Cricetulus griseus: one gene and its partners. The protein of the gene in region 7 binds, or shares a complex with, the protein of the main gene of each other region. Links are inferred from orthologs where the notes say so. Each region holds a gene or a part of one and is shown on either strand. Other genes may lie near its edges. The genes, in order: Rgs10, Grm4, Casr, Rgs8, Trpc5, Rgs2 and Gnai3.

Region 1 (2,288 bases), on a different chromosome or scaffold from region 7:
CAAGGCACCTCCAGCCTTCCAAGTAGATGCCCTGAGGCCTCAGCCCCATGAGTGTTGGGAGAAGGCAGGTTTAAAGATGTCAGGATTTTGCCACCCACTTGGCAACCCCGCCTGACAGTGAATGGCATTCTGGAACTTTCCATTCAGCCAAGCCTGAGCTAGTGTTGTACAGCAAAGCACCTTGGTGTGCCTTGTGGCTCAGAGAGAGAGAGAGTACTCTACATCAGCAGGAAAATGTACCCTTCCTTCCTTTCCTTCTCCATGTTGTAGGGTCAGGGAAGGTGAGCAGGAGTGAATCGGGGATCCAGGGGGCGTGGCCCAGAGACAGCCTCCACAAAGCACATGTGGCATGCATAGGGCCAGCAGATGCAGCTCTTTCTAGTCCCCAGGACTCAGGCTCCATCACGGGTCCTTCTCAGTGTGCCTCACTGCCTTCTAGACACCTCTGCCTGTCCAGCTGTGCAGGGGTCTGCCCTGCTGCTGACTTCTCTGCTCTCTGCACCTGAGACAGGTCCTGCAGCCTCTCCTGATGGAGACTGAATGTGCACTCCCTCTCCTGCATGAGATATGCTCCCCTTGTCTCTCGGTGTGGTCATATGTTTGAGATCTCTAACACCAAACTTACTGGGTTTTAATATTTGGCTTTAAAAAGATTTTGTTATTGTTGTTTTTGAGACAAGGTCTCACGTAGCTCAAGCTGGAGTCACACTCACTGTGTAGCTGAGGCTGAGCTTGAACTTGAGTGCCGGGTTCACAGGCGTGTGCCACTGTTCCTAGCCAGCTGAGATTCTTAAAGGGCCATTTCAGGCTGTGTGTTTCTATACTTCCATGGAAAATAAAGATGTATTTGTGCATGTGTTCTCTAGTCTATAGAGTCCATTGAGACCATTACACGATGAACAAAAATGTCTAGGATGTCTGCCTTGTCCAGCACAGCCCTACCCTGGTGTTGTTCTTGTTATTATAATTAGTGTGTGATTGTGTGACGTGTGTGTCAGTGTGGGCATGTACATGCTATGGCCTGTATGTGGAGGACAACCTTTGGAAGTCAGTCTCTTGTTCTACTGTGATTCTTGGGGATGGAACACAGGTCATCAGGCTTGCGTAGCAAACACTCATTTGTAACTACTGAGCCATTTCATAGGTCCCATACTAGCATGCATTTGTGTGTGTGTGTGTGTGTGTGTGTGTGTGTGTGTGTGTGTGTGTGTGTGTGCTCACGCCAAGTGCACAAGGGTATTATTCTTTGGCCCTTGGTAGGTCTTTGACATGGTGACTCATGGTCTGAGTTGGCAGTAGCCCTCAGGCTCTCTCTCCTTCCCCTCTAGATCTTCAATCTCATGAAGTATGACAGCTACAGCCGATTCTTGAAGTCTGACTTGTTTTTGAAACACAACTGTACTGATGAAGAGGAAGAAGAGCCTCCCGACGCTCAAACCGCAGCTAAACGTGCTTCCAGAATTTACAACACATGAGCCCGAGAGCTAAGACCTTCACCACCACCACCACCACCACCCCCCATGGCGCAGAGGATGGACTCTTGGAACTGTGCAGGGCTGTCATTGCTTCGTTATGTTTGAGGACTGAAGTATGCAAGACCTCCCCACAAGATATGTGTATTTTATTAACGGTTTGACCAGTAAAGTAACTCCTGCATGTTAGCTAACCCTCCATTAAAAACAAAAGTAGCTTTAAAGTTTCCGTTCACAAAACAAATGCGATTTCTCCAATACTGGATACTCACAGCATTTTAAGCTTAATTAAATTCCCTGAGAGTCCACAAGTGAAGCCCTTAGCCGCTTCTGCTCTGTTAGCCTTCGCCTCATCTTTCTGGCCTGGGCTGTGCGCATCCAAGACTCTTGGTCTGACAAACACAAGAGTGGTGGGCATTGTTTGCTGATTGCTTTGGGGTTGGATTGTTCTGGAGAGAAGTCCAGTGCTGTCTAAAGCAGATCTCTGACAGCTGCGAAAGATTCAGGGAGTTGAATGACAGCTTTAGCAAAGGGCTGTTATTTCTCATATGGGTGGGGGGGGGGTGTGGGGAACGACTGGTCCCTTAATCCATGGCATTTCACGCAACACACACGCTTGAAGTTCATTTCCACGGAAACACTATTTTAGGCAAGGGGAAAAACAAAAGCGAAACCAGTCAGGGCTGGAGACTGCTCCCAGTTGTGTCCAGTGGGACCTCAGCATGAGATGTTGGGGTTAATGGGATGTTCCCCCTTTCCCTTCTACCGCCTAGGGTCAAATCAACCCCGCACCTTCTCCGGCCTTTCTTCATTTGT
Region 2 (3,999 bases), about 180 Mb from region 7:
AGACAGACACACACACACACACACACACACACACACAGGGACAGACACCCATATGCCCCAGAGCTGGAGAGCCATCTCTCGTTCTGAGCTTGCCCTGCCCACCCTCCCCAGGTTAACCTTCTTGCCTCTGTAATGGCTGCTGAGCTTCTGGCCCAGGCTCTCATCTCTATCAGTTTCATTAGTGAAGACGCCTCTAGTCCCAGCTTAGAGCATTAACTAAGAGGACCTAGGGAGCACAGACCATGGCCTCTGGATGCCCTCCCTCTCTTTACAGACCAGCAGGCCATGCAGCTGCCCACTCACAATGCACATTGATCCCTGTGTTCACACAGGCACAGACCAAGCAGCCAGACCTCTTCACACCTGACCAACAGGACAGGGAACAAGGAGGCCTGAGGCCTGAGCCCTGGCTCCTATCATACCAACTGTGCCCATCCTTGGGCGGAATAGCACAGAAATACCAGCTACCCCCATCTCGGGGGGCTTTGAGCCCGTTGTCCCCAGATACATGTACTCCTGAGATTGTGCTTAGAAGTCTAACATCCAGACAGGCCATTCTGTGGGCTCAGCACACAGAAAGTCGGGGGCCGGTGGCTCCCCCATCCCAGAGGTGAAGTGGATACTGGGAGGGCCCTTCACTCTTGAGCACCATACAAGGCTCTATTGCTATGAGCTAGAGGCTGGGCCAACATCACTGGGAGCACAGTTGGGTGGCCCAGGCTGCCTTCCTCCCAGGCCTGGCAGGGCCTAGATGACTCAGCTGTCCCAGTCATCAGTGGAACAGGCCTGGGACAGCCAGCCCCAGTCTTCCCATTGTCCCCGCTTCTCCGTGAGGCTGGAGGCATGGGCGGACCCAAGCAGGCTGTTCACTCCAATGCAGTACTCTGAGATCAGGACAATGGGATCCCCAGGGACTCCTTGAAATGCCCACTGCCGGAGCGTCTTCTCCTCAGAGCTTCCTGCTGCTCCTACACCCAAATCAAGTCAAACCAACCGCTCAGGAAAAGGCCACCCTGGGACCACAGCAGGCGCACACACGTGTGCACACACATTTATGAAGGCTGCAGATGTGGGCAGGGTATGCACTCCGCAGGGGTTGCCTGAGATTAGCCATGGCTAAATTCTATCCCGCCAAACAGAGAGCTTCATCTCCATTCACCCCTGCTGGAGGCACACGCACCACAGCATCCTGGGCGCTGGCCCGTCTTCAGAGTTAGACAGATGAGCTCAGGATGAGAGGGACTGGCTTCCTCTCCTCCCACCCCAAGTGGTCCAAACAGCCTTTCCCAGGCCTCAGCAAGCTCTGGAGACCAGGACAAAAGGACCCAGAGGAAAGACTTAGAGGGGACCAGTGTCCTCTTCCTCCCGCTCACAGACAGAGCAAGAGAGGCAGGCGTGGGGGTGGGGAGCAGGGACATGATTGTTGGTAAAAGGCTTGTACCGTTTCTTCCCTCTCCCCAGTAGCTTTCAGTTGTTTTAGCAGCTTAGCAAGCACTTGGCTCCAATTGAATTGCAAATCAGCAGCTCTTGCCCCGGGAAGAGAAGAAGGGAGGTGGTGGAGGGGGCAGGGAGGGGCTGGGAAGGAACAGGAGAAAGTCGTAAAGGAGGAGGGCAGAGGGCAGAGGGCAGAGGGCAAGGGCAGAGGGGAGGGTGGGAGGGAGGCCAGGGCTAGGTTCAGGTAACCAGGCTAAGGCTGAATTAGCTGGCTCCCTCTTCCTCTCTTCATGCCCCTGGACCCACAATCCCACCCCCATCTGAAAACCAGGACACTCTTCTCCAGCCAGAACTGAAGGGCGGGATGAGAGGGCCACCAGGGCCTTCCTCAACTAACCAGAAAAAAAAAAAAAAAACACATCTTTCTTGGGAATTGCAATTATTTGAAAACAATGTCAAAACAAAAGTCTCGCTTTATCCCCCTGGCAATCTGCAACACTGTGGTTTCCATTCTATATTTTGTCTGTCTGCCCTTCCATCGATCCAGCTGTCTTCCATCTGTCTGTCTGCCTCTCTCTTATGTTCCTTCACACTTCCAACCCCCTCCAGGCTCAGGGTCTGAAGGAGGAGCTAAGGCAGACGCTGCCTCAGAACCATGGTCAGCACCAAGTCCTATGTCTCAGCCCCACCCTCACTTCTCTCAGCCCCGCCCAAGCTTCAAACACTGGATCCGGCCCCAGAGCCAAGAGGGTGGCCTCCGTTCTCATACAGTCTCCCACACAATCAGGAAGAGGAGGAGGAGGAAGGAGTCGCCGGCCAGGAGCCCTGGGCCATGGAGGGCACTAACCTTGAAGAGGCGGAGGATGTTGGCCACCATGATTGAGACGGAGCTCCCTGAAGCTCCAATGACACCCACCACTCTCTCAGGCTTGGTGATGATGGGTGGGCCACCGCTGCCACAGCGGACCTCCGTGCCGTCCTTCTCGATGAGCGCCTGCACAAAGGTCAGGGACTGCTCCAGGGCATGGGTGTCCCTGGAGCAGGTGTCCAGAATGCGGGCACCCAGCGTGATGTTGGGCAGTAGGTCCGGATCGTTGTTGATGCGATCCAAAGCGAAGAGCATGGCCTCCAGCCGGTGGATACCCTTCTCCTTCTTCAGCTCCCCACAGGCTTTACCCTCGGAGCCGCGGCCATGGACAGGAAACAGGCCCCCCAGCGTGATGTCCCCGTCAATTCGGATAGAGTTCATGTGGGGGTGGCCCTTGGGCTTCCCTAGGGATGAAGGCACCCAGGGGCCACAAAGGCTAAGGAGAAGGCAGAGGGGCAGCCGGGCCCACCACCAGCCCCAGCCTCCCTTCCCAGACATTTCGAAAAGGCCTAGAGACCCATGAATAATGGGCCCCACTCCTAGCCTGAGCAGGCCCTGGGTCCCACGGCCTGTGTACACATGAGCAGGGCAGCTTCAGCAGCAGGGTGGCTGGAGACGGCCAACGGACCGGCCCATTCCACAGCTCTCCCCTGTTCTTTGTTGATACTTGAACAGAGCTCAGTGCTCAGTGGCCCACACAGGCCAAATCCACAGACGACAGAAAGTGGCCAGAGCTACAGGAGGTCTCAGATCCTTGTCCCCATGTCCTGCAGGCCAGATTGCCGTGTCTGGCTGTGGAAAGGGAGGTGAGCTCCTATCCTGGCATGATCTTTGCATCGAGGAGAAAACAGCTCCAATCACTGCTACCAACCTGGAAAAGAGAGAGAGAGAGAGACTATCAACCCAGCCTGAAGAAGACATTTACTATTCTGACTCCTCATCAGGAGCCTGGGAGAGGGAGCCCAGAGGTTATCGCCAAAGACGCCATAAATCTCTACTTGATTTTCACTGCTGTGGCCCAGCTCCTGAGGAAATGCAGAGCTGGGAACAGAAACTGGGTCATGTTTAAAGACCTCCGCTGGCCTGGACCCATTGCCCTCACAGGCCAGGCCTCTGAGAGAGGACTCCTAGGGACAGCCAGCATGGCTGGGGAGGAATGGGCCCCTCAGCATGCCTTGAGAAGCTATAGCAAAACACCAATCCTGCCAGTCCAGCCTCATGATAGAAACAGGAAACTGAAGCCCCAGCAGAAGTCTATGCCAAGTTCCACAGATACTTCCCACCCTAGCTCTGAACAAGAAACAGCTGTTTGGGGAACCCACTGTTTGTGGCACCCAGTCTTGAGGGACCCAGAGTCCAGGAGGATAGCAGCCTGCCCAAGAAGGCTGGGGTGCTGACTGGGCCCAGGCCAGGAGCTGCAAGCCAAAGGCTAGGAAGAAGTGGGGATCTGGGGTTCAGAGCTGGTCCCCCACTTCCACATGTCCACCCCAGCCATAGAAGCGCCCAAGCAGAGGGAGAAGCCGGGTTCCTTCCTCCTGCCCCTCCCCCTGCCTCGGTCTCCTGGTCTCCTCTGGCCTCCCTCCCTCCACTCTGTGCCCTAGTGGGGCTCGGGTTGCAGCCTGAGCCCCTCTACGTTATTGTCATCATTGTTGTTGTTGTTGTGATTAAATATTTATCTGCAGGGTAGAGGAGAAAAC
Region 3 (3,500 bases), on a different chromosome or scaffold from region 7:
TAAGAGTATGTGCAAGGAGCTGGAGAGATGGCACAATGGATAAGCACACTTGATATGCAAGCATCAAAGGCCTGAGTTTGACTCCTAAAGCCTATGTAAATGCAGCCCGGGTGCCTGTTGCTCCCGAGCTGTGACAGCAGAACAAGGGGATTACTGGGATTTGCTGGCCTGAAATCAAACAGAACCAGATGTTCTTCTTGTGCCTCTGCGGCACGTACGCAAAGGCATATGCACATGCACACGCATGCATATACACCACATTCACACACAAAAGTCTTCTCTGTCAAGCCAGGTGGTGGGTGCGTACACCCTTAATCCCAGTACTCAGGAGCCAGAGGCAGAGGCAGAGGCAGATTTCTGTGAGTTCAAGGCCAGCCTGGTCTGTAGAGTGAGTTCCATGACAACCAAGACTACACAGAGAATCTCTCTCTCTCTCTCTCTCTCTCTCTCTCTCTCTCTCTCTCTCTCTCTCTGTCTTTCTGTCTGTCTGTGTCTGTGTCTGTGTGTGTGTGTGTCACACAAACACGCAGGAGCCTATGGAGACCAGAAGAAGGCGTTAAGGCATTGTATCTGCTGGAACTGAAGTTACAGGTAGTGGCAGCATCCTGTGGGTGCTGGGAACCGAACCTGGGTCCTCTGGAAGAGAAGTAAGCACTGTTAACTGCTGAGTCAGCTGTCTCTTCAGTCCCAGAAATTGTGTCTTTTAAAAAATTTAGTCGGAGCCGGGCGGTGGTGGAGCACGCCTTTAATCCCAGCACACGGGAGGCAGAGGCAGGAGGATCTCTGTGAGTTTGAGACCACCCTGGTCTGCAAGAGCTAGTTCCAGGACAGCCTCCAAAGCCACAGGGAAACCCTGTCTCGAAAAATAAAATAAAAAAAAAATTATTCGGCCATTTTGTTGTTATGTGTTTGGTTTCAGGAGGTGGGCTATAGAACCTAGATTTTAATTTTTTTGTCTGAATCTGCTTGATTTAGTCCAGTTTCACTGGATATCCAGCATGACATTGACTAGACATAGTGGTGACGGACATACTTGTCTTATTCATGACCTTATGGGGAAAGCATTCAGTAACCCAGTGCCTAAGGAAGAAGAGGTTGTTTGAGCAAACTGTGGGTGTAGCATTTCTAGGAACAGAGCCACCAGTACTTCATTTCTCTTTGTAGCCAAATAGTATCCCATTGTAAGGAGGTGTTTTATTCATCTACTCGTTCAAATGATGGACATTCAGATTCTTTCCACTTTGGATCATTATAGTACTGTTGCTATGGACATTTGCACGCACATGAGTTTTTTATATGACATATTTAATTCATTAAATCCGAGTGTAGCACTACCGAATTGAACAGCAACTCTGTATTAACTTTTTGTTAAACTGCAACAAGTTTTTCCAAAATCAAGTCAAAAAGTCAGCGCTCAGGCTGAAAGAGGCACTTTAGCTGCCCCAGCCTGCCCTCACTGTACCTCAGGCAGGAAAGTGGGATCCAAAAGGGACAGGGAGAAGGGCTCCTGGGGTGGTGGAGAAATGAGTGTGCCATACCCATGATGGAACCTGTCTTCTCACCTGGTGCCTCAGCGCTGTAGAACCCAGGCTTAGCAGAGCATAGCACTTGCTTACAAGCATGGGCTCAGGATCCTGGACAGAGAACCTCAATTTTCTGTACTTCAGTTTCCCAATTAATAAAATGGGGAGTATAACCAGGCATAGTGGCACGTGCCTTTAATCCCTGCACTCAGGAGGCAGAGATGGGCAGATCTTTTACATTCGAGATCAGCCCAGTCTACAAAGTGAGTTCCAGGCCAGCCAGAGTTACACAATGAGACTCTCAAAAAAAGAGAAAAAAAGGCATGGGAGGGGGTGTTCATGTCATTTTTGTGATTAAAAAACATAAAGCACTAAGAACCATAACACAAAGGCAGTAAAATGGTATTTAAAAATTTAAATAACTCACTGTATTAGCAATTACTATAGTTGCTTTTTGTAAAATGGCTCTGTGACCCTCTAAGACCTTAGATAAACTCAAGGATGCTCCATGACTGTCAACAGTGGGCTCCAGCCACAGTCTTTCTGTTTCTTCCTTCTACTCCACACTGAATTTTGGCAGTAAGACATCTCCACAGACTCAAAATCACAGGGACAACAAAATTCTCAGTCTTTCTCCTCTCCTTCCCCACACCCAGCTCAGGGCATGACGGGAAGGTGGTGGCTCCACAAGGTCACGATGCACCTACAGAGGTCTTCACTTGACTGTGGTCAGGGGAGATATATTCTTTTCTCCTCCCCATCTTCAAAAGAGTGTTCAGAATGTGCAAGCGCTCTAAGAAAAACTGGAGAAAGGCCACCTCTCGGTTTCAGGTTTCTTCCTTTGTGGGATGAAATACTGACAGAACACAACCAACATAGCCACTGGTGGCATTCCACGGCTCCTCTTCGTTCATCTCTGTTTCTCTTCAGGTCCTGAAGCACCTACGGCACCTCAACTTTACCAACAACATGGGGGAGCAGGTGGCATTCGATGAGTGTGGTGACCTGGTGGGGAACTACTCCATCATCAACTGGCACCTCTCCCCAGAGGACGGCTCCATCGTGTTCAGGGAAGTCGGGCATTACAACGTGAATGCAAAGAAGGGCGAGAGACTCTTCATCAATGAGGAGAAGATCCTATGGAGTGGGTTCTCCAGAGAGGTATGAGCAAAGCATGCCATGCTGCCACCACAGACCGGGGACCACTGGCTTCGGGGGCGGGGCTGGGATTCATCACCAGCTTCTAGGATAATGTCCTTTTCCTATGTTCCCCAGCTCTGAGTGTCCAGGCTTCCCATGAACTGCAAGAGTGTTTAGTGATGAGAGGAACCCTGGGAACCTGAGCTTCATGACTCAACTCTCTTTTGACTCCCTGGCTAGTCATTAAGTTTTCCAGGCTAAAACTTCCCCCAACCAGAGCAAAATATTTTTTGGCAAAAAAAAAAAAAAAAAAAAAAAAACTCTTAAGTCATTAGCTTGCAAGTGGCATTGAGGAAGACATCCTACCTACCCTGGGTAGGAGATTTAAATTTGAGATTGAAGGGACTTCTTTATAGATTGTCATAATGACCAGGAAGTAATAATGGCCTTCAATACTTGGGGTTCAGGGATGCTAAATGCCCAGCATGCATGGGACAGTCTTTCACAGTTTTTCCATCTAGCCCAATTTCCATTAACCATGCAGCAATGGAGCCCAAAACAGAGCTCTGTGATTTTAGAATGAGGGTATTCAAAAAGCTCCAGGCTGACCCATACACCAGAAGGGCCATTCATTCCATGACCAAGAGGAAGAAGCTTGTGACTGGGCCAGGTGTCCTACCCCGCATCACTGTATCTGAAAGACTGATTAATAACCCGAAGCCCATGACTTGGTGAAGATGCTCATTAAGGAAAGACATGTTGAAATGATGACCATCCAGTGGTTTTATGCTAATGTACTGGTTAACTTTTGTCAACTTGACACAGTGAGGACTATCT
Region 4 (3,500 bases), on a different chromosome or scaffold from region 7:
GACATAGAATTAAAAAGTGCCAGGGTTTGAGAGATAGCTTAGTAGGTAAGACTGCTTTCTTTGCAAGGATGATGACCTGAGTACAAATCCCTAGCACTCATGTTACAGGCCCGGCCTGACTGCTCATGCCTGTAGCCTCTGAATTGGTGAAGAGAGACAGTTGATTCCTGAGAGCTTGTTGTCCTTAGGAATCAACTTAGGTAAAAGAAGCCTTCTGCTTCAGTGAGAGAGCCTCTCTCAAGACACCCCAGCCTCCTGTTCTGGACCCAGCACATCCATTCACATGTGTGTACACCGGCATACTCAGGTGTCACACACACACACACACACACACACACACACACACACACACACACACACACACGCAAAGAGAGATGGGTTTGTTGAACTAGGATTAGTTGTACCAGTCTGTCATCTCAGGCTTGAGCCTTGCTTGGGCTATGAAGTGAATTAAAGACCAGCAACAACATAGAAAGGATGAAAAATGCCACATACCTTGGCAGCAGAGCACTTGCATAGTATACGAGAGGATTGGGTTCACTGCCCAGTGCCAAAAATAGTAACATGAATTTTACAAAAGAAATAAAAATGGTCATTGAGCCATGTTTGTTCACCATTTTGGCACCTTATTCTTCACTTTGAGGACCCTTTCTAGGAAGCTGTCATTGTCATTCCAACAGAAGAGAGTGAGTCAAGAGTTAAAACAGTTGATTAAAACTTTTTCAAATAAAAGTGCAACTGGAAGTGCATGCTATAAATAGCTGTTATTTTCCTCCCCCGCTTATCTGTGTGGATGGAAAGCTTGGCAGGACATATGACATTGATTAGTAAGAGGAAAGGCTGGATTAGCCATTAGATAAATTGGCAGGAAAATTATACTCGACCTCAATTAAAGCCTATAACCTGGGTCAGCGACATGGTTTAGTAGGCAAATACACCAGTTACAAAGCTAGAGGGCCTGAGGGCCATCCCCAGGTCCCACATGGGAAGTAGAGAGCTGTCTCGTGCAAAGAACTGTGTCCTTTGACTCCCCCCACATAAACACACACACACACACACACACACACACACACACACACACACACACACTCGCACCCAAATAACTGTAACTTTAAAAATGTTTTAAAAATCTAATTTGATAGGCAAATTTCAAAGCAAAAATGAATAGACTAAAAAAACTGCCAAATACACATCCTCAAGGATTTCCTTAAAGACTCACAGAGTGCTATCTTATCCATGCAGCAGACTGAACTGAGTTTCTATTTGATGTGTTTCTGATAGCAGTAAAAGGTTGGCTCTGAGACATGTATACTCCTGTCCAGTTTGTCTTACAGCTGCCCATGTCTTCTCTCTGGTGTGGATTCCTTAGGGCAGAGAATGTATAGTGCCTATTAACTTGAGCAACACAGGCTTACCACCAGGCCTGGGGCTCAGCCAACTCTGCATCAACGGGCAGGCAGGCTTTATCAGAAGTGACCAAGTTTACCCACTGTTGTCATTATTATGGGATTTTAAACATTTCTCTTGGATATTCCACACTGGCCCTTGGACAAGAAGCTTTCTCTGAGGAGAGCTGTGTGTCGTGTGTGTGTGTGTGTGTGTGTGTGTGTGTGTGTGTGTGTGTGTGTGTGTGTGTAAAAGCAGCAGGCTTGGACAATGAGGACACCATCACAATAGGACTGTTTTTCCCGAAACAGCAGTCTTGGAATTAAGCCTTCTCTTCCTTCCTTTTCTCCCACCTCTTTCTGTAGATGGAGTGGCGGCCTTCCGTGCCTTCCTGAAGACAGAGTTCAGCGAGGAGAACCTGGAGTTCTGGCTAGCCTGCGAAGAGTTCAAGAAGACCCGGTCGACTGCAAAGCTGGTCTCCAAGGCCCACAGGATCTTTGAGGAGTTTGTGGATGTGCAGGCTCCACGGGAGGTGTGTTGGTCATGGAAACTGTCTCCTGAGGTCTTGGAGGGCATTTAAGCCAAGCCCCCAGGATTTCCTCCAATCCCAATGGGCCTCCCAACTGTGGTGGATCCTGATGAGAAAGGGTAGCTTTTGAGAAGTGGAAGATCCAGGTTTTCATGAAAGGAGATGCATTAGGAGTGGTTTCTGTCTGCCTGACACGTGTTACCGCAGTGGTTTCACAAGAGTACGTTCCCTGGAGCCCATGTCTGTTTTCCTATTCAAAGCAGTATGGGGGCCGCTGAATTGACTCATTGAGTAAAGGCACCTGCTGCCAAGCCTGATGACCTTAGTTTGATTTCTAGAACCCACATGATAAAAGGAGAGAAATTGTCCTCTGCACAGAAGCGTGCACACTCGTGTACACACACACACACACACACACACACACACACACACACACACACCCTAACAAACAAGCATGCAATAACTTAATGGAATAAGTACCCTCTTAAAGGATTTTGTTTGTAGTCTCAGTTCTGCCACTATGTGTGATCATCCTTAACTTATTCAAACTCTCTGAGTCTTATCTTCCCCAGTGTAAGATAGGATAATGCTACTTGCCTTTCAAGGCTACGCTGTGTTAGAGGTAAAGCACCTACTGAGTGTTTGCCACTGCTCATTAATGAATATCTACAGTCACTTTCATTGCTGTATTATAATTATGCATAGCTGTTCTGAGTTTTAATGCAGCATGTCCCTCTGGAGGCTTTAATTGATGAACAGTTTGCAATCTGTATTGAGGTTTGGCTTTGACTTGGGGTGTGAGACCTTTACAAACTTGGTAGAATGCTATTGGCCCCAAATGATGACACATAGAGAGATGTATGTTTACCAGGGTCTGTCTATACTGGGCATCCATTGGCCTTGGTGGTTAAGAAAGAATGAGATGGAAAACTTAGGGGAACCTTATTAATATCTGGCTGGAGACTCAGCTTAGTGTGGAATGAAGATTCTTGTTTAGGATTTGTTGACTTGAGGATTCTTGCCATGGTTCTGGTACTAATCCAACCTACTTTAGACAAGTTTTGTAGTATTTCTTTCTTTTCTATATTATTATTATTATTATTATCATCATCATCATCATCATCATCATCATCAAGAAATGGTCTCCTTTCATAATGCTGATTGTCCTGGAACTCACTCTGTGAACCGGGCTGGCCTTGAACTCACAGAGATCTGCCTGCCTCTGCCTCCTGAGCACTGGGATTAAAGGCGTGCGCCACCACGCCCTGCTGGTGTCGCTTTTCTTCACTTACCTTATTTACAATTTAAGACTACCTGGACTTCAGACTCCACAGCATTTCTGCTGGAATCCCCAGGAACGAACCCTGTAAAAGCAGTTTGAGAAGCATCCGTGACCCTAAAGATGTGAGATACTGCATTGATGGTTGTTCTGTAGCTTGGACCCACTATCCAGAAAGTGCCTTGGCCTTTGAGGGCCTGTGACCTTGCTCTCTCTTTGTATCTCCAGGTGAATATCGATTTCCAGACCCGAGAAGCCACAAGGAAGAACATGCAGGAACCATCCCTGACTTGTTTTGACCAAGCT
Region 5 (4,155 bases), on a different chromosome or scaffold from region 7:
AACATTCTAGCAATCTAATCCCAAGATATACTAATTTAATACTTAACATGCTGAGGGATTATAAGAAAAATACTATTAAGAGTCTTTGTTTTCCATAACTATATCATCATGTTTCTACAATAACATAACTCTTGGTATGTAAAATAAAATCACTGCAGTTCATATCAGTCAATCTTCTCAAATCCAAGCTGAGACGTGTCATTGACATTGTGTACAGTGCTAGTGTGTGCAATGTAAATGGTGCGTATTGAGTGTTCAGAACCAAGGCTGCAATGAGGCTGTGTGATAGAGACATCAAGAATTATCGTTGCCAGAAACAACTGAGATTCACTGCATGTGGCGAGTCTGAATGAAGTTTTGATTGTTGTGCATTCAGATGCCTTTTAATGTTGCTGACATTTAAAAGACCAATGTTATTATTTCTAATTTTGTGTGTTTGTGTGTCTCTGTGTCTGTGTATGTGAGCGAAGGTACTTGTGGAGACCAAAAAAAAAAAAAAAAAAAGGCATAGACTATCCTGGAACTGAGTAATAGGTGGTTACAAAACACCCAGCTTAGGTGCTGGGTATTGAACTCAGGTCCTCTGCTAGAGCAATACATGTTCTTAATGATCCAGCTCTCCAGCCTTTGGTGCCAAACTTTTTGCAACAGCCTGATTCAGTTGTGTGATCAGATCCTAGTGATTAAAAAGGATTAGGAGCTTGAACTCCAGCTCTAATATGATCTTAAAAGAGCAATTTAACAATCCCATTTCTCAACGGCAAACAGGGATGATGATGATGACAACAATAATACTAACAATAGCAATAAAGAATAATAATATCTAGCTTATAGAGTTCCCTGGAGGTTTAAATGGAGTAAGTCATGTTAAGATGCAAAGCCAGTGATGGTGGCATATTACTTATTCATGAAATAAAAAATTATCAGGTACTTTGTGCTGGTAGTGTGAGATAGCAAGGAGCAAGAGAGATGGGATCTTTACTTTCTTGGGTACTGTACAAGCTGATGGGGAAGGGGATTTAGGCGTTTTCCTCAAGGAACTGCTAATCTGCCAGTTTCTGATTTTTACTCCATTTTCCAGTCTGTCAATTCCAGTACTTTGTGAGTTGCCATTTAGTTTATTTTCATTGCTCATTTCCTAAATGAGTCAGTATTGAAAGCTAAAGATTTCCTTCAAACCCAGCTTTGGCCATATCTCATAATACTTGAGGATGACTGTTTTCACTCTCCATGTTCCTCAAGATGCTGATTTGTCTCCTATATTTGACCAGCTCCATTTCCATTTCTTCACCGTGTTGCTAATATAAGCAAGAAGGCCCTCATCAAAGGTTTATTAGATAAGCCACTTTATCTTGAGTATCTGGCCTCTAAAACACAGTGAGCAAAACAAGTCTCTGCTTTATAAAGTCCATCACCTCAAACATTTTCTCCTAACAATGGGAGACAAACTAATAGAGGACATGGTAGTACTAAAGGATAAGCCAGCCAGACTCTTCAGAATGGCTTCAGAGCTGCAAAAAGAATTGATGCAGGGAGACTAATGAGAAAAAAAAATTCATGACAGTGTAGGACAGTGATTCTCAAACCTGAGTGTGAATCAGAATCCCCTTGAAGGCCTGTTAAGGCACAGCTTGTTGGGCAGCGTCCCAGAGCTTATGATTGAGTACCATTGTAGTGGAGAACTAAGACTTTGCGTCCTTCATAAGTTCTCAGGAAACGCTGCTGCTGCCAGTCTAGAGGCCACACTTTGAGAAACTCTTATTTAGGAGAGTGATGACAGAACAGGCCATACTAATGCTAACGGGCTTAGAGAGGAAACAGAGAGCGATGGAGAAACCATAGGGGTTGAACATGGGCACCAGATTTGACTGAGAAATCAAACATACCAAGTTTCTGTGACTTAGAGACTAAGAGACTCATAGAAGCAAACCCACAAACACCTATGAGGAAAATTCAGTCACATAGCGTGTACTAAGAAAAATAAAGGAGGTTTCTAGTTTTGTTTGCACTATGGCACTCGGGGCTAAAGTCTTCTTGTCTTTTCTGTGGAAGAAAAGCCTCCCAGGAGAAAGTGCAGGTCTGGGTTTGGTCTCTTTTGTATCGTGTAACATTTGAGTAAAGGAAGGAAACGAAGATATAATGGGAGGTGGTAAAGAAAGTGGCAAGATTTTGCATAGTCTAAACATGACAAACATGCCTTTGCACTGTTAAGTATTGAATGTATTTGAGTAACTAAGAACAAAAGACAAAGCAAAAGAGTAACCTGGCGGGGACCATCCAGGGCAGCTCTGGTGGAAGCTCCTGAGACAACTGATCACAGTTTCTAAGTCAGGGCTTCTCGATTCCAGACTGCTGAATCTTGCCTTGGAACTCTGGTGCCCTGACATTGTGGCTGCTTCCAGCCTATTGCGAATTCTCTTACCTGCTTCTCTCCACTGGGCTTTCTGTAGCTAAGAAGAAGCTCCACAGCGCCCACCACTTCCTTGCGGATGGCATAGAGTAATGCATCGCCGACATACACACTGTGGTTCAGCAGTAGCTCCATGATCTCTAGGTTCTCGTTCTCAATGGCAATGAGCAGGGCGCTCCTGCCCAAAGGATCCATGCAGTTGATGTTGACATTGTAGTAGATCTCGGCCTCCTGCAGTGCCTGTTTCACGGTGGCATAATCCCCCTTCTCCACGGCATTAAGGAAGGCCTTCTCTTCAGCAGAGAGCTCAGTCTCAGCCCTCACGATTTGGAGGGGGATGCGGTCTCTGTATGGTGAGTAATTGACCTTTTTGTAGTAAAGCTGGGCCATGGTTCATAGCAATTTAGAAAGCTAAGTGTGGAGAGAGAGAGAGAGAGAGACAGAGGAAGACGAAAGAAAATTTTAGTTACCTGAAGGTTTCAAATGGCCATTTACTAATCCCTTTCTAATGGGATTTCAAAACCCCAAAGCATCTGAATGACAACGTTGTTTCCCTGTTGCTGAGGAGCAGAGCAGCAAAAGCCCAAGCTTTAGTCACAATGACTTGGGCTAGAACACTAATTTAACACTTAGTGGCTCTGGGATCTTGCACAAGTTAATCAAACCCTTTACCACATTTGTTGCTAAGGTTATTCATATTAATATCATTAGCAAGTTGTCATCTAGTGTTTACCAAGTCTCATGCTAGAGAATAACTCCTACTTTGAAAAGCTACTTATATAGTTAAAGGAGTTATATATTACCAAATCTCCTAAGACACAGCACAGCTTACACTGAAATTTTCCTCCCCTTCCATTGCTGAAAGTACCCATGGTAATACTTCTGATTAGTGGTGTTAAGTTGCTCCTTGCTTAGGGCCAGATTCATTTGGGCTCTGGGGTCTGTGGGTCTTTTAAAATCGAAATTTCAAGCTTACATTTGCCACTGTTCTGGATGCACATTTCAGAATGGAGTACTATTTTAGGAGCTAGGAATATAGTTCAGGTAGTAGAATGCTTGTCTAGCATCCACAAAACCCTATGCTGGATACCTAGCTCCACATGAGCTGGATATGTGCATGTCTGCAATCCCAACACTCAGAGGGCAGAGGAAGGAGAATCAGAAGTTCAGGGTCATCCTTGGCCACAAAATGAGTTCAAGGCTGACCTAAGATAATGAGACCATGTATTTAACAAAAGACAAAAGGGAATATATATATATATATATATATGTATATATACATATATATTATATACATACATACATTCATATATGGTTTAGTGTTAAGTGCAGCTCTCTTCCTTGGCAGTGGTCATTGGAGAAGTATTGACTCCAACAAGCCAAAGCCATCCGCAAAAGATGAGCATGGACTCACTCCCTAAAGCCACCTCTGATTTTTTTCTGCCACCATTCCAGACTCTGAAACTATCAGACTGGAGAATCAATTTGATTTAATTCCAACAAATGAATGGTCTGTTTTGTTTGTGCCAGGTCTAAGGTCAGATCACACTTAACAGAACTGATTGTAAAGTGAAAACTAAATAGATTTTTACTGAGCTCCAGCACTGTGTTTACATTTTCTCTGGAAGACCAAGAAAATAAAAGCACCTTTGCCTGCAATCATACAGAATGAATCACAAGGGAGAGCTCTTGCTTTGTGATTTACAGATCAAATTTCTTCACATTCCTCATTGACTACTTGTACT
Region 6 (4,062 bases), on a different chromosome or scaffold from region 7:
GTCCTAGGTTGCTGGCTTTCTGATCCACTACCCAACTTTGAATCAATAGTTCTGAGTGATGTTTCCTAACACCCAGGCTGAATTCAAGGTCAGTCTTTTGGCAGGTCACAGCCTTTTCGTCTTGGGAGACAATGAAATGTCCTCTGTTGGGGGCTCCTGGCCTCATGTAGCATGGGGCTCCGTGGTGATCTGTGGCTTTTTACACAAGTCCTGGTAGAATTCTGACTCCAAGAAGCGAGGGTAAGAATTGTTCTCCATCAAGCTGTATACCCTCTTCTGGGCTGTTGTAAAACAGCCACTTGTAGCCTCTTGGATATTTTGGGCAATCAGCGTTTTTGTTTGAAAGTCTATGTTTATCTGAAACCAAAAATAAAACAAAGCTTGATTTATTTGGTATCCAACATTATAAATCAATGCTTAATAACAAAACACAAAAGATGTAATATGTGATCAGTTCTCACTGTCAGATTGGAAAAACTGAAATGCTAGGATAGCTGGGGTGGGGAGCCCCAGCTCTTCCCACTGGCACTTTAACTGGTGTATCCAATTCTTGTGCTTCACTATGGGGTTGAAGATGTCCAAATTATGCTGACACCAATAACTTGTTTTCTTACCTCTTTGGGAGCTTCCTTTTCTATGAAGTCAGTATATATTTTTCTTGCTTTGGAGGACAGTTTTTGGGGTGACTTGGTTTTTTTGAAGTCTTCACAAGCCAACCAGAATTCAATATTTTCTTCACAGAACTCAGATTTTAAAAACGCCCTGAATGCAGCAAGCCCATCTGAAAGCACAGGAAAACAAGCATGTAGAATGTAAATTGAGTGACCAGATAACACATGGTTCTTTTAGTACTAGAATGATCGATCAGCTTTCTAGATTTCACTCAAACCTGTCATTCTCACACTTTAGCTCTTTAAGCACTAAGATGCCAGCAGGCAAAATGCTTAACTTTGCATTCTGCAACGACGACAACAAAATATACTGAACTTCACCGTCAATGCAAAATAAATATTTAGAGGACAGTCATCCATTAGTTCTCTGGGAACTAGGGCTTTTGAAAATATTCTATGCAATGGAAAAGCTGACTCAACCCTAACTATGAGTAAGTCGTTTTAATTTTTAGGCTAATTTTTCTTCCTAACTTTCACAAGTTAGGCTAACTTTATTCCTGAAGTGAATACCTCATGCTTTTCCATGATTAAACTGGAGGACGAGGGGAAAGAAAAGCAGGCTTTATGAAGTAAATGGTGCTAATGTCTGATGCACTTCCTGCTAGCTGCTCATTTGTGGTGTAGACACAACATTTCTAGGCTCTTGGGATGCTGGTGAAAGATCAAATTCAAGAGGTTAACTTACATTTACTGGCCAGCAGTTCATCGAATGCTTCTGCCCAGAGCAGCGCTTCCTCAGGAGAAGGCCTGCAAGAGAAGTTCCGAACATGAGCTATATAAACCACACATAATAGTTCCCCTCTCCTGTTCAATGGCTAGACATTCTGTTCTGCAAGTACAGGAGTTGCAACTTACTTGATAAAAGTTTGCTGTTTGCTTTTCTTGCCAGTTTTGGGTTTCCCAGGAGTGGAGGAATTTTGCAAGAAGTAGCTCAAACGGGTCTTCCAATCCTTCAAGCTAGAAAAGAAAAAAGGAGAGGAAAAAAATACTTCAAGCTGCAATTCTTGAATAGTGAAATTATCACCAGTTGCAGTAGCATATGGTCAGTCACCAAACAAACCAGACAGGCAAGAACAGTCCATGCCATATGTGGGATATTTAAACCCAGCACCTCATGGATTGAACCCAGCATAGGACTACATAACACAGCTAGGATATTTAAAATTTTCACAAGTTATTTCTGACCTACGAAAAAGGTAGCGGTTTTTCTGCATGGTTAACTACAACTTGGAGACAATTAATGATTGAGAACTGCCGTGTGTTGAGCCAGCTGATGTTCCTTCCCTTTCTGTGCTAGAGGCAGGAGGGTCTGGTCCAAGATACAGGCGGTGCATAGAGGGGTGTGTGTGTGTGGTGTGTGTGTGTGGGGTGTGTGTGTGTGTGTGGTGTGTGGTGTGTGAGTGTGTGTGTGTGTGTGTGTGTGTGTGTGTGTGTGTGTGTGTGTGTCCCGAGCTCCCCCTCCGCGACCTCCCACAGTGCTTCTCCGCAGCAGATACTGCAGAGCAAATTACTCATTCCACAGTCGTGACTGGATGAGACCTATTTTATGATTTAAAACCGTATCTAAAGCGAATACATTCGGAATCATCCCAAACATTACCCAGCAGCTGTGTAAGCAGCTCAGACCTCACAATGCAATGTATGGGCGCTGCGGATCCTATTCAGCTGCAGAATACTCATGTCACCTTACATGCAGAACAAAAAGCCAGCCATCGCCTTCTCAGCCCAGCTACCGCCGCCACCTTCCTAACAACTTCCCATAGTTGAAACTCTACGCTCACACAGAAAAAAGCACAACCACGAGATCTAGCAAGCTGACTTTTCCTTCTTTCTTCCCCCCGCCCCCCCGCTTTCTCTGCAGAGGTGCAGACCGGAGTTAGCTCAAGTCAAAGCCGAGATGGAAGGAAGGTCGGTCCCGAGCAGCAAAGCCATGCGGGGTAAGAGCTCTCAGGAAGAGAGGGCATACTCACAGCGTCCGCTTCATTTTCTCCCGCTTCTCCTCGACCTTGGGGCCGTTGCCTGCGCTCTTGTCCATGGGTACGCAGTCGTGCTGGACAGCCAGGAACATGGCACTTTGCATACTAAGACTCCGGCGGCCACCGCAGCTGTTTGCAGCCGGGCGCGCGCCGCGGTCTTTTAAGGCCGGCTGCGGAACAGGGGCGGGGCCCGGAGGCGTCGGCTCCGCCTTTCGAGGGTGCGGATTGGCCCGCTGCAGACGGCGCGAGGGAGGGGTCGCACGGGCCTGCGGCAGTCACGGCGGCAGCCGAAGGGTCTGGAAGCCAGGGCGCTGCTGACGTAGGTGCCGCAGCCTCGTGCGCACACAGGCGGGGAGGCGGAGGGCGGGGACAGCGCGGGATCCCTGCTCGCTTGTTCGGGTGGCCCCAGCCGTGCAGGGTTCCCGAGTTCGTGACTTTTCCTTAAGGCCGTACCTTTTCCTTTCCTTTTATCTTTTTTCGAGCCCCGCCTTTGCAACTCATGCTTTGTTCACGATCTTTTAGATGCACCGGGACACCTATACACTGCAGCGGGCAGGGGGAGAGCCCTACCGCCCCACCCACACTCCACCTATTTCGGGGAAGGACTTAAACAACTAGAGAAACCCGAAACAAGGGCTTCTGAGCTAAGTACTGTGATTCTCTGTTCGCTCAGGCATCTTGGAATTCCTTATGGGAACGCACGCTGGTCAGGGAGGAAGAAGGAGAAAGTGCCTATTAAAACCCGGTGTTTTAAATGATTCTGCATTTTTGATCTTTAAACGCCTGGCTGCAGAAGGCTGTGACGTTGCAGGGTCATTCCCCAGGAGATCTGAAGGGCGTCTCTAGGCGGGCACGGCACAGATCTGAGTGATAGAGAGAAACACAAAGGGAAACCCGAGATCTTGCGGTTCTGATACACTCGGATCGTTTGTAGTTTCCGAGTGTAAGGAATCAGGATTTCCTAATGAGTCATTCTTAGTTGGGCAGGCTTAGAATTTGCCAGATATTCACCTGCTTAAATTAAGGGGTGGGGGTGTGAGGCTAGAGCTGGATGTGAGAGTCGGGAGGTGTAAAGTTTGCTTGGACAAGCTTCATTTGTCAGTTCTTCAGAAACCCATCTCTACTCCCGCAGGTTTTAAAATGCCCTGATCTGTAAGAACAAATACATGACTTCAACTACAAACTGATTCAGCTTCCTATGTTACGGGAGTGATGCGGCGGAATACCTAAGTGGTTTTCCCATGAAGTCAGGGCAGATAGATTAACAACGAAGTTATGGTCATTCTGCTTCACACTAGACCTTACTAAAAGAAAAATAGAGGCACATTCCTCAAACTGGAACGAGGCAATACATTGCTACAAGCTGCGGGTAGCTGAGCTCCAGGTTTGAATTGGGGAACAAAGTCTGAAGTCAC
Region 7 (3,500 bases):
AGTGCATTATCTTGCATATTAAATGCACATTTGTGTTGGGCCATGGTGGTGCCCACACCTTTAGTCCCAGTATTCAGGAAGCAGAGGCAGTCGGATCTCTTTGAGTTCAAGTCCAGCCTGTTTTACAGAGTGAGTTCCAGGACATTCAGAGCTGTTACAGAGAGAAACCCTGTCTTGAAAAGCGCCCCCCCCCAAAAAAAACCCAACACATTTGTTGAATATTTATTTGATTAATTATTTGGCTAATTGCTATCAGGCCCAGTTGGGGCCCCTGGGAATACAGGGAAGAACAGCTTGGCAGAGCTTTTAGTGGGGAGATGAGAAAAGTAAGTCTGTTGTGAAGACACATGCTGTGAAGAAATGAGATGCTGCGGGGTGGGAGGTATTCAGGTAATTTCATCAGGAAATGTTCTGAGGGGAGCAGAAATGTGAGTGAAGAAGAAAATCTTGCAAAAATTGTTTCAGTCCAAGGGAACAGCAACTGGAAACTGTGAGTCAGAGTCTAGGCTAGTAAGAACCAGTTTTGCATGTTAGAGGAAACATGAAGAAGCTGGCTTGACAAGAGTGTTGAGGATAGAGTGGAGACAGACCAGAAATGAGGGTGAGGAGGTAGGCAGCGACCAGAGTACATTGGACCTTATTGCCCACATGTTATAATTTGGGTGTAAATAGAGGTCATGAGGCAACTCTTGTCAGTGTTGTGACATGATCCAGACAGGCATGCTATACATTTGTGATCCCACAAAGAGTTCAAGGCCAGCTTGGTCTACAGAGAGAGTTCCAGGACAGCCAAGACTACACAAAGAAACCCTGTCTTGAAAAACCTGTTTGTCCCTGCTTATATTCTGATTCTGCCCAACTATGTCACCTCCTGTCTAGCCAATCAGCCAATCAGTGTTTTATTCATTAACCAATAAGAGAAACATATGTACAGAAGAGCATTCCCCATCATTCCTTGGCAGGTTTTGTTTTTGTTTTTTTAAGATGTATTTATTATGTATGCAGTGTTCTGCCTACAGGCCAGAAGAGGGTACCAGATCTCATTATAGATGGTTGTGAACCACCATGTGGTTGCTGGGAATTGAACAGGACCTCTGGAAGAGCAGCCAGCGCTCTTAACCTCTGAGCCATCTCTCCATCCCTGCTTGCCAGTTTTGACCTTAGCGAGTTAGTTAAATGTTAGTACCATTTACTGGGATGACAAGACTAATGGAAAAGCAGCTTTGTTTGAGCTAGACATGGGGACTGAGTAACTGTCAGTATTGGGCATTAAGTTTGAGATGCTTATGGGATATCTACTGTGATATATAAGGTAGGTGATGAATTTAAAGCCAGATTTGGAAAGTAAGATTGGAGGTCTTTGGGAATCTAGCACATTCCAGCTTTGAAGTGAAACTGAGTGGAAATACTTATTTGCCAACTGCTATATAACTGTGGACAATTTCCCTGACCTTTCTGCTTCATGTATCTTATTATAAAATGAGGGTAATAGTGTCTACCTTACAGAGGTGTGAGGATTGGATGAGTTAATATTAGCAACATACATAGAACATCCTAATGTGTGCTGCTCTTTGGAGGTTAACTTTTATTCATGAATAGTGCTTCAAACCATCAAATTAGATAAGATAGGAAAAAAGACAAGGATCAACTTGGAAAATGCAGATTTGAAAGGCAGAGTTAGGCCTAGAAATGATCAATTAGCTTGCCAAAGGGTGCAAGTGGCTTGGGGACCTTGAGAAATAGTTTCAGGAGAGTGGGAATGACTTGGAGGTACTTAATTGGAGATTTTAAGTATAGATGACACACTGGGGAAATTTTGCTATAAAGAGACACAAAGAGGGGTAGCCAAGATAGCTGCTCTGTGAGTAGAGTTGCTTGTTTTTAAGTCTGAAAACCTGAATTGATCCCTGGGATACTCATGAGGAAGGAGAGAACTAACTCCTGTAGGTTGCCCTCTGACCTCCATGTATGTTCTGTCATTTGTGTTGTTGTTCCCACCCCCCAACCCCCATAAATGAGTTAATGTAATAGAGCCTTTAAAAAAGAGGCACAGGGAAGATGGAGTAGTAGAAAGGAAAATAGGTGTCGGGGGAGGGTCAGAGAAAGGTAGGGCTGGGATATGTATAATGGTTTGTGTACTAAGACTGACATAGTAAGAGGAGGAAAAACAGTGACATTTCAGTGATATTGGACACTCCGGCAGCCACAGGTGAGGGGAAAAGAAGTTGATAAGTAAATAAGTAGAGCTGTAAGAACATTGAAGAGACAGCTCATCCATTGATGAAGTAGAGAATAGTAATGGAGATACAGGTAGATTAGTAGATTTGGTTATGGAAAAATGAGGTAATGTTCTCTGGTTGCCTTTTTCTAAAAAGGAGGGAGCAGGGTTGTCATTTATGAATCAGAAGTAGCCTTTGATGATAGAGAAATGTGGTAGCGTTTTAAGAGGCATTTTGGAAGATGGACGAATTATTGAGCACGGAGGATCTGGCAGGCAGACTGTCAAGATCTGAAAATTATTTGACCTTTGATCTTTAGCCTAAGTGATTCCAGTTGACTAAGGAGGGTGATACAACCCTTCCGGGAAGAGGAGCTATATCATGAAAGGTAGAGGCAATGTTCTGCTGTTTGGAACCTTTCTAGCCCTGTGACTGAAAGGATTGCTTCTGGAACATTTCTTAGGTCCATTGGCAGGTCACAGAATTAGTAACTGTGACTAGGACATAGGCCAAAAATTCACAATTGCTCTTTTGCCTGTGTTCTTTGAGTATATCATGTTTTCTGATGTCACTGAAAATATTTGTGTTGTTGTCTTTGAGTGGTGTCTGTTTTGCACAAATGATACCAATATAAGAAAAGCAAAATGCTCTAGTTGAGAAACTCACAGTTTTCCTGATAGACATAAAAGCTCACCAAAATTTCACAGAACCTATGTTTTCTGTTAACTTAGGCTTACCAGTCACATGACTCTATACCTTTGACTACAGAGAAACTCAACATCTATTTTTGTTGTTTTTCTTTTCAGGTGCTGGAGAATCTGGTAAAAGTACCATTGTGAAACAGATGAAGTAAGTTCACACAGGGCCTGAATCTCTCCCTCTTTATAGAAAGTTCATAATGTTTTTGTTTTTTCATTCATAGTATTGACTTGTGGTTTTCTTCTTTTTGAAGAATCATTCATGAGGATGGCTACTCAGAGGATGAATGTAAACAGTATAAAGTAGTTGTCTACAGCAATACTATTCAGTCCATCATTGCAATCATAAGAGCCATGGGACGGCTAAAGATTGATTTTGGGGAAGCTGCCAGAGCAGTAAGTATTTCTCATTTCCTCTTCACTTGCTGTTCTTTTGTAGATGTAGTTAAGCCAAATTTGCGTCAGGTTTTAGGGAACAAGAAGATAAGATGGTGTAAAATACTGTGTACTTATTTTTGAAGTGCTGGCTATCTGACTCAATAGATAGCAAGTTACTGCTACAGGCAGAGCCCTGGAAATGAGA

Evidence for each region.
Region 1: the proteins of Gnai3 (region 7) and Rgs10 are in contact, whole or in part, in a crystal structure (PDB 2IHB), measured with the Homo sapiens proteins. The link is inferred for Cricetulus griseus from reciprocal best matches to the Homo sapiens genes GNAI3 and RGS10. Residues at the interface, in NP_006487.1 of Homo sapiens: Val71, Val72, Ser75, Glu115, Val179, Lys180, Thr181, Thr182, Gly183, Ile184, Val185, Gln204, Ser206, Glu207, Lys209, Lys210, His213, Ala235, Glu236; in NP_001005339.1 of Homo sapiens: Glu62, Phe63, Ser64, Glu66, Asn67, Ala102, Ser103, Ser104, Gln105, Val106, Asn107, Val108, Glu109, Gly110, Leu137, Lys139, Tyr140, Asp141, Ser142, Arg145.
Region 2: the proteins of Gnai3 (region 7) and Grm4 are in contact, whole or in part, in a cryo-EM structure (PDB 8JD6), measured with the Homo sapiens proteins. The link is inferred for Cricetulus griseus from reciprocal best matches to the Homo sapiens genes GNAI3 and GRM4. Residues at the interface, in NP_006487.1 of Homo sapiens: Ala31, Lys32, Val34, Lys192, Asp193, Leu194, Thr219, Phe336, Thr340, Ile343, Ile344, Asn347, Leu348, Cys351, Gly352, Leu353, Tyr354; in NP_000832.1 of Homo sapiens: Pro616, Lys619, Ala620, Gly622, Arg623, Glu624, Arg676, Ile677, Ile680, Phe681, Gln683, Gly684, Lys685, Arg686, Ser687, Val688, Ser689, Ala690, Ile694, Ser695, Pro696, Phe781.
Region 3: the proteins of Gnai3 (region 7) and Casr are in contact, whole or in part, in a cryo-EM structure (PDB 8SZH), measured with the Homo sapiens proteins. The link is inferred for Cricetulus griseus from reciprocal best matches to the Homo sapiens genes GNAI3 and CASR. Residues at the interface, in NP_006487.1 of Homo sapiens: Ala31, Lys32, Gln304, Glu308, Lys314, Asp315, Thr316, Lys317, Glu318, Ile319, Tyr320, Thr321, Phe334, Asp337, Ala338, Thr340, Asp341, Ile343, Ile344, Lys345, Asn347, Leu348, Glu350, Cys351, Gly352, Leu353, Tyr354; in NP_000379.3 of Homo sapiens: Lys644, Ala645, Asn647, Arg701, Val702, Val705, Phe706, Ala708, Lys709, Pro711, Thr712, Arg716, Trp719, Phe801, Ile869, Val872, Arg873, Thr876, Ala877, Ala880, Phe881, Lys882, Val883, Ala884, Ala885, Arg886.
Region 4: the proteins of Gnai3 (region 7) and Rgs8 are in contact, whole or in part, in a crystal structure (PDB 2ODE), measured with the Homo sapiens proteins. The link is inferred for Cricetulus griseus from reciprocal best matches to the Homo sapiens genes GNAI3 and RGS8. Residues at the interface, in NP_006487.1 of Homo sapiens: Glu65, Gln68, Ser75, Val179, Lys180, Thr181, Thr182, Gly183, Ile184, Val185, Gln204, Ser206, Glu207, Lys209, Lys210, His213, Ala235, Glu236, Asp237, Glu238; in NP_001095920.1 of Homo sapiens: Thr76, Glu77, Phe78, Ser79, Glu81, Asn82, Ala117, Pro118, Glu120, Val121, Asn122, Ile123, Asp124, Phe125, Gln126, Arg128, Leu153, Lys156, Asp157, Ser158, Arg161, Arg164.
Region 5: the proteins of Gnai3 (region 7) and Trpc5 are in contact, whole or in part, in a cryo-EM structure (PDB 8GVX), measured with the Homo sapiens proteins. The link is inferred for Cricetulus griseus from reciprocal best matches to the Homo sapiens genes GNAI3 and TRPC5. Residues at the interface, in NP_006487.1 of Homo sapiens: Arg205, Arg208, Lys209, Trp211, Ile212, His213, Phe215, Glu216, Glu245, Leu249, Ser252, Asn256, Lys257, Trp258, Arg312; in NP_036603.1 of Homo sapiens: Thr27, Glu32, Glu33, Glu56, Ile57, Tyr58, Tyr59, Asn60, Lys125, Pro128, Thr129, Leu130, Met131.
Region 6: the proteins of Gnai3 (region 7) and Rgs2 are in contact, whole or in part, in a crystal structure (PDB 2V4Z), measured with the Homo sapiens proteins. The link is inferred for Cricetulus griseus from reciprocal best matches to the Homo sapiens genes GNAI3 and RGS2. Residues at the interface, in NP_006487.1 of Homo sapiens: Val179, Lys180, Thr181, Thr182, Gly183, Ile184, Val185, Gln204, Ser206, Glu207, Lys209, Lys210, His213, Ala235, Glu236, Asp237, Glu238; in NP_002914.1 of Homo sapiens: Glu104, Phe105, Glu108, Asn109, Glu143, Ala144, Pro145, Glu147, Ile148, Asn149, Asp151, Phe152, Leu180, Asn183, Ser185, Arg188.

What each region holds. Positions count from the first base shown.
Region 1 is NC_048596.1:72,430,592-72,432,879, forward strand, and holds the end of Rgs10 (regulator of G-protein signaling 10), read left to right. Parts: intron 1-1,328; coding exon 1,329-1,475; 3' UTR 1,476-1,788; downstream 1,789-2,288. UniProt on the Homo sapiens protein: Regulates G protein-coupled receptor signaling cascades, including signaling downstream of the muscarinic acetylcholine receptor CHRM2.
Region 2 is NW_023276806.1:232,654,377-232,658,375, forward strand, and holds the start of Grm4 (metabotropic glutamate receptor 4), read right to left. Parts: upstream 2,801-3,999; coding exon 2,282-2,800; intron 1-2,281.
Region 3 is NC_048597.1:53,509,209-53,512,708, forward strand, and holds part of Casr (extracellular calcium-sensing receptor), read left to right. Parts: intron 1-2,453; coding exon 2,454-2,686; intron 2,687-3,500. UniProt on the Homo sapiens protein: G-protein-coupled receptor that senses changes in the extracellular concentration of calcium ions and plays a key role in maintaining calcium homeostasis.
Region 4 is NC_048598.1:38,008,659-38,012,158, reverse strand, and holds part of Rgs8 (regulator of G-protein signaling 8), read left to right. Parts: intron 1-1,751; coding exon 1,752-1,918; intron 1,919-3,422; coding exon 3,423-3,500. UniProt on the Homo sapiens protein: Regulates G protein-coupled receptor signaling cascades, including signaling via muscarinic acetylcholine receptor CHRM2 and dopamine receptor DRD2.
Region 5 is NC_048604.1:36,233,620-36,237,774, reverse strand, and holds the start of Trpc5 (short transient receptor potential channel 5), read right to left. Parts: upstream 2,801-4,155; coding exon 2,423-2,800; intron 1-2,422. UniProt on the Homo sapiens protein: Forms a receptor-activated non-selective calcium permeant cation channel. Mediates calcium-dependent phosphatidylserine externalization and apoptosis in neurons via its association with PLSCR1.
Region 6 is NC_048598.1:46,447,451-46,451,512, reverse strand, and holds the start of Rgs2 (regulator of G-protein signaling 2), read right to left. Parts: upstream 2,801-4,062; 5' UTR 2,752-2,800; coding exon 2,642-2,751; intron 1,629-2,641; coding exon 1,527-1,628; intron 1,419-1,526; coding exon 1,357-1,418; intron 782-1,356; coding exon 615-781; intron 358-614; coding exon 163-357; 3' UTR 1-162. UniProt on the Homo sapiens protein: Regulates G protein-coupled receptor signaling cascades. Inhibits signal transduction by increasing the GTPase activity of G protein alpha subunits, thereby driving them into their inactive GDP-bound form.
Region 7 is NW_023276806.1:49,009,574-49,013,073, forward strand, and holds part of Gnai3 (guanine nucleotide-binding protein G(i) subunit alpha), read left to right. Parts: intron 1-3,025; coding exon 3,026-3,068; intron 3,069-3,171; coding exon 3,172-3,313; intron 3,314-3,500. UniProt on the Homo sapiens protein: Heterotrimeric guanine nucleotide-binding proteins (G proteins) function as transducers downstream of G protein-coupled receptors (GPCRs) in numerous signaling cascades.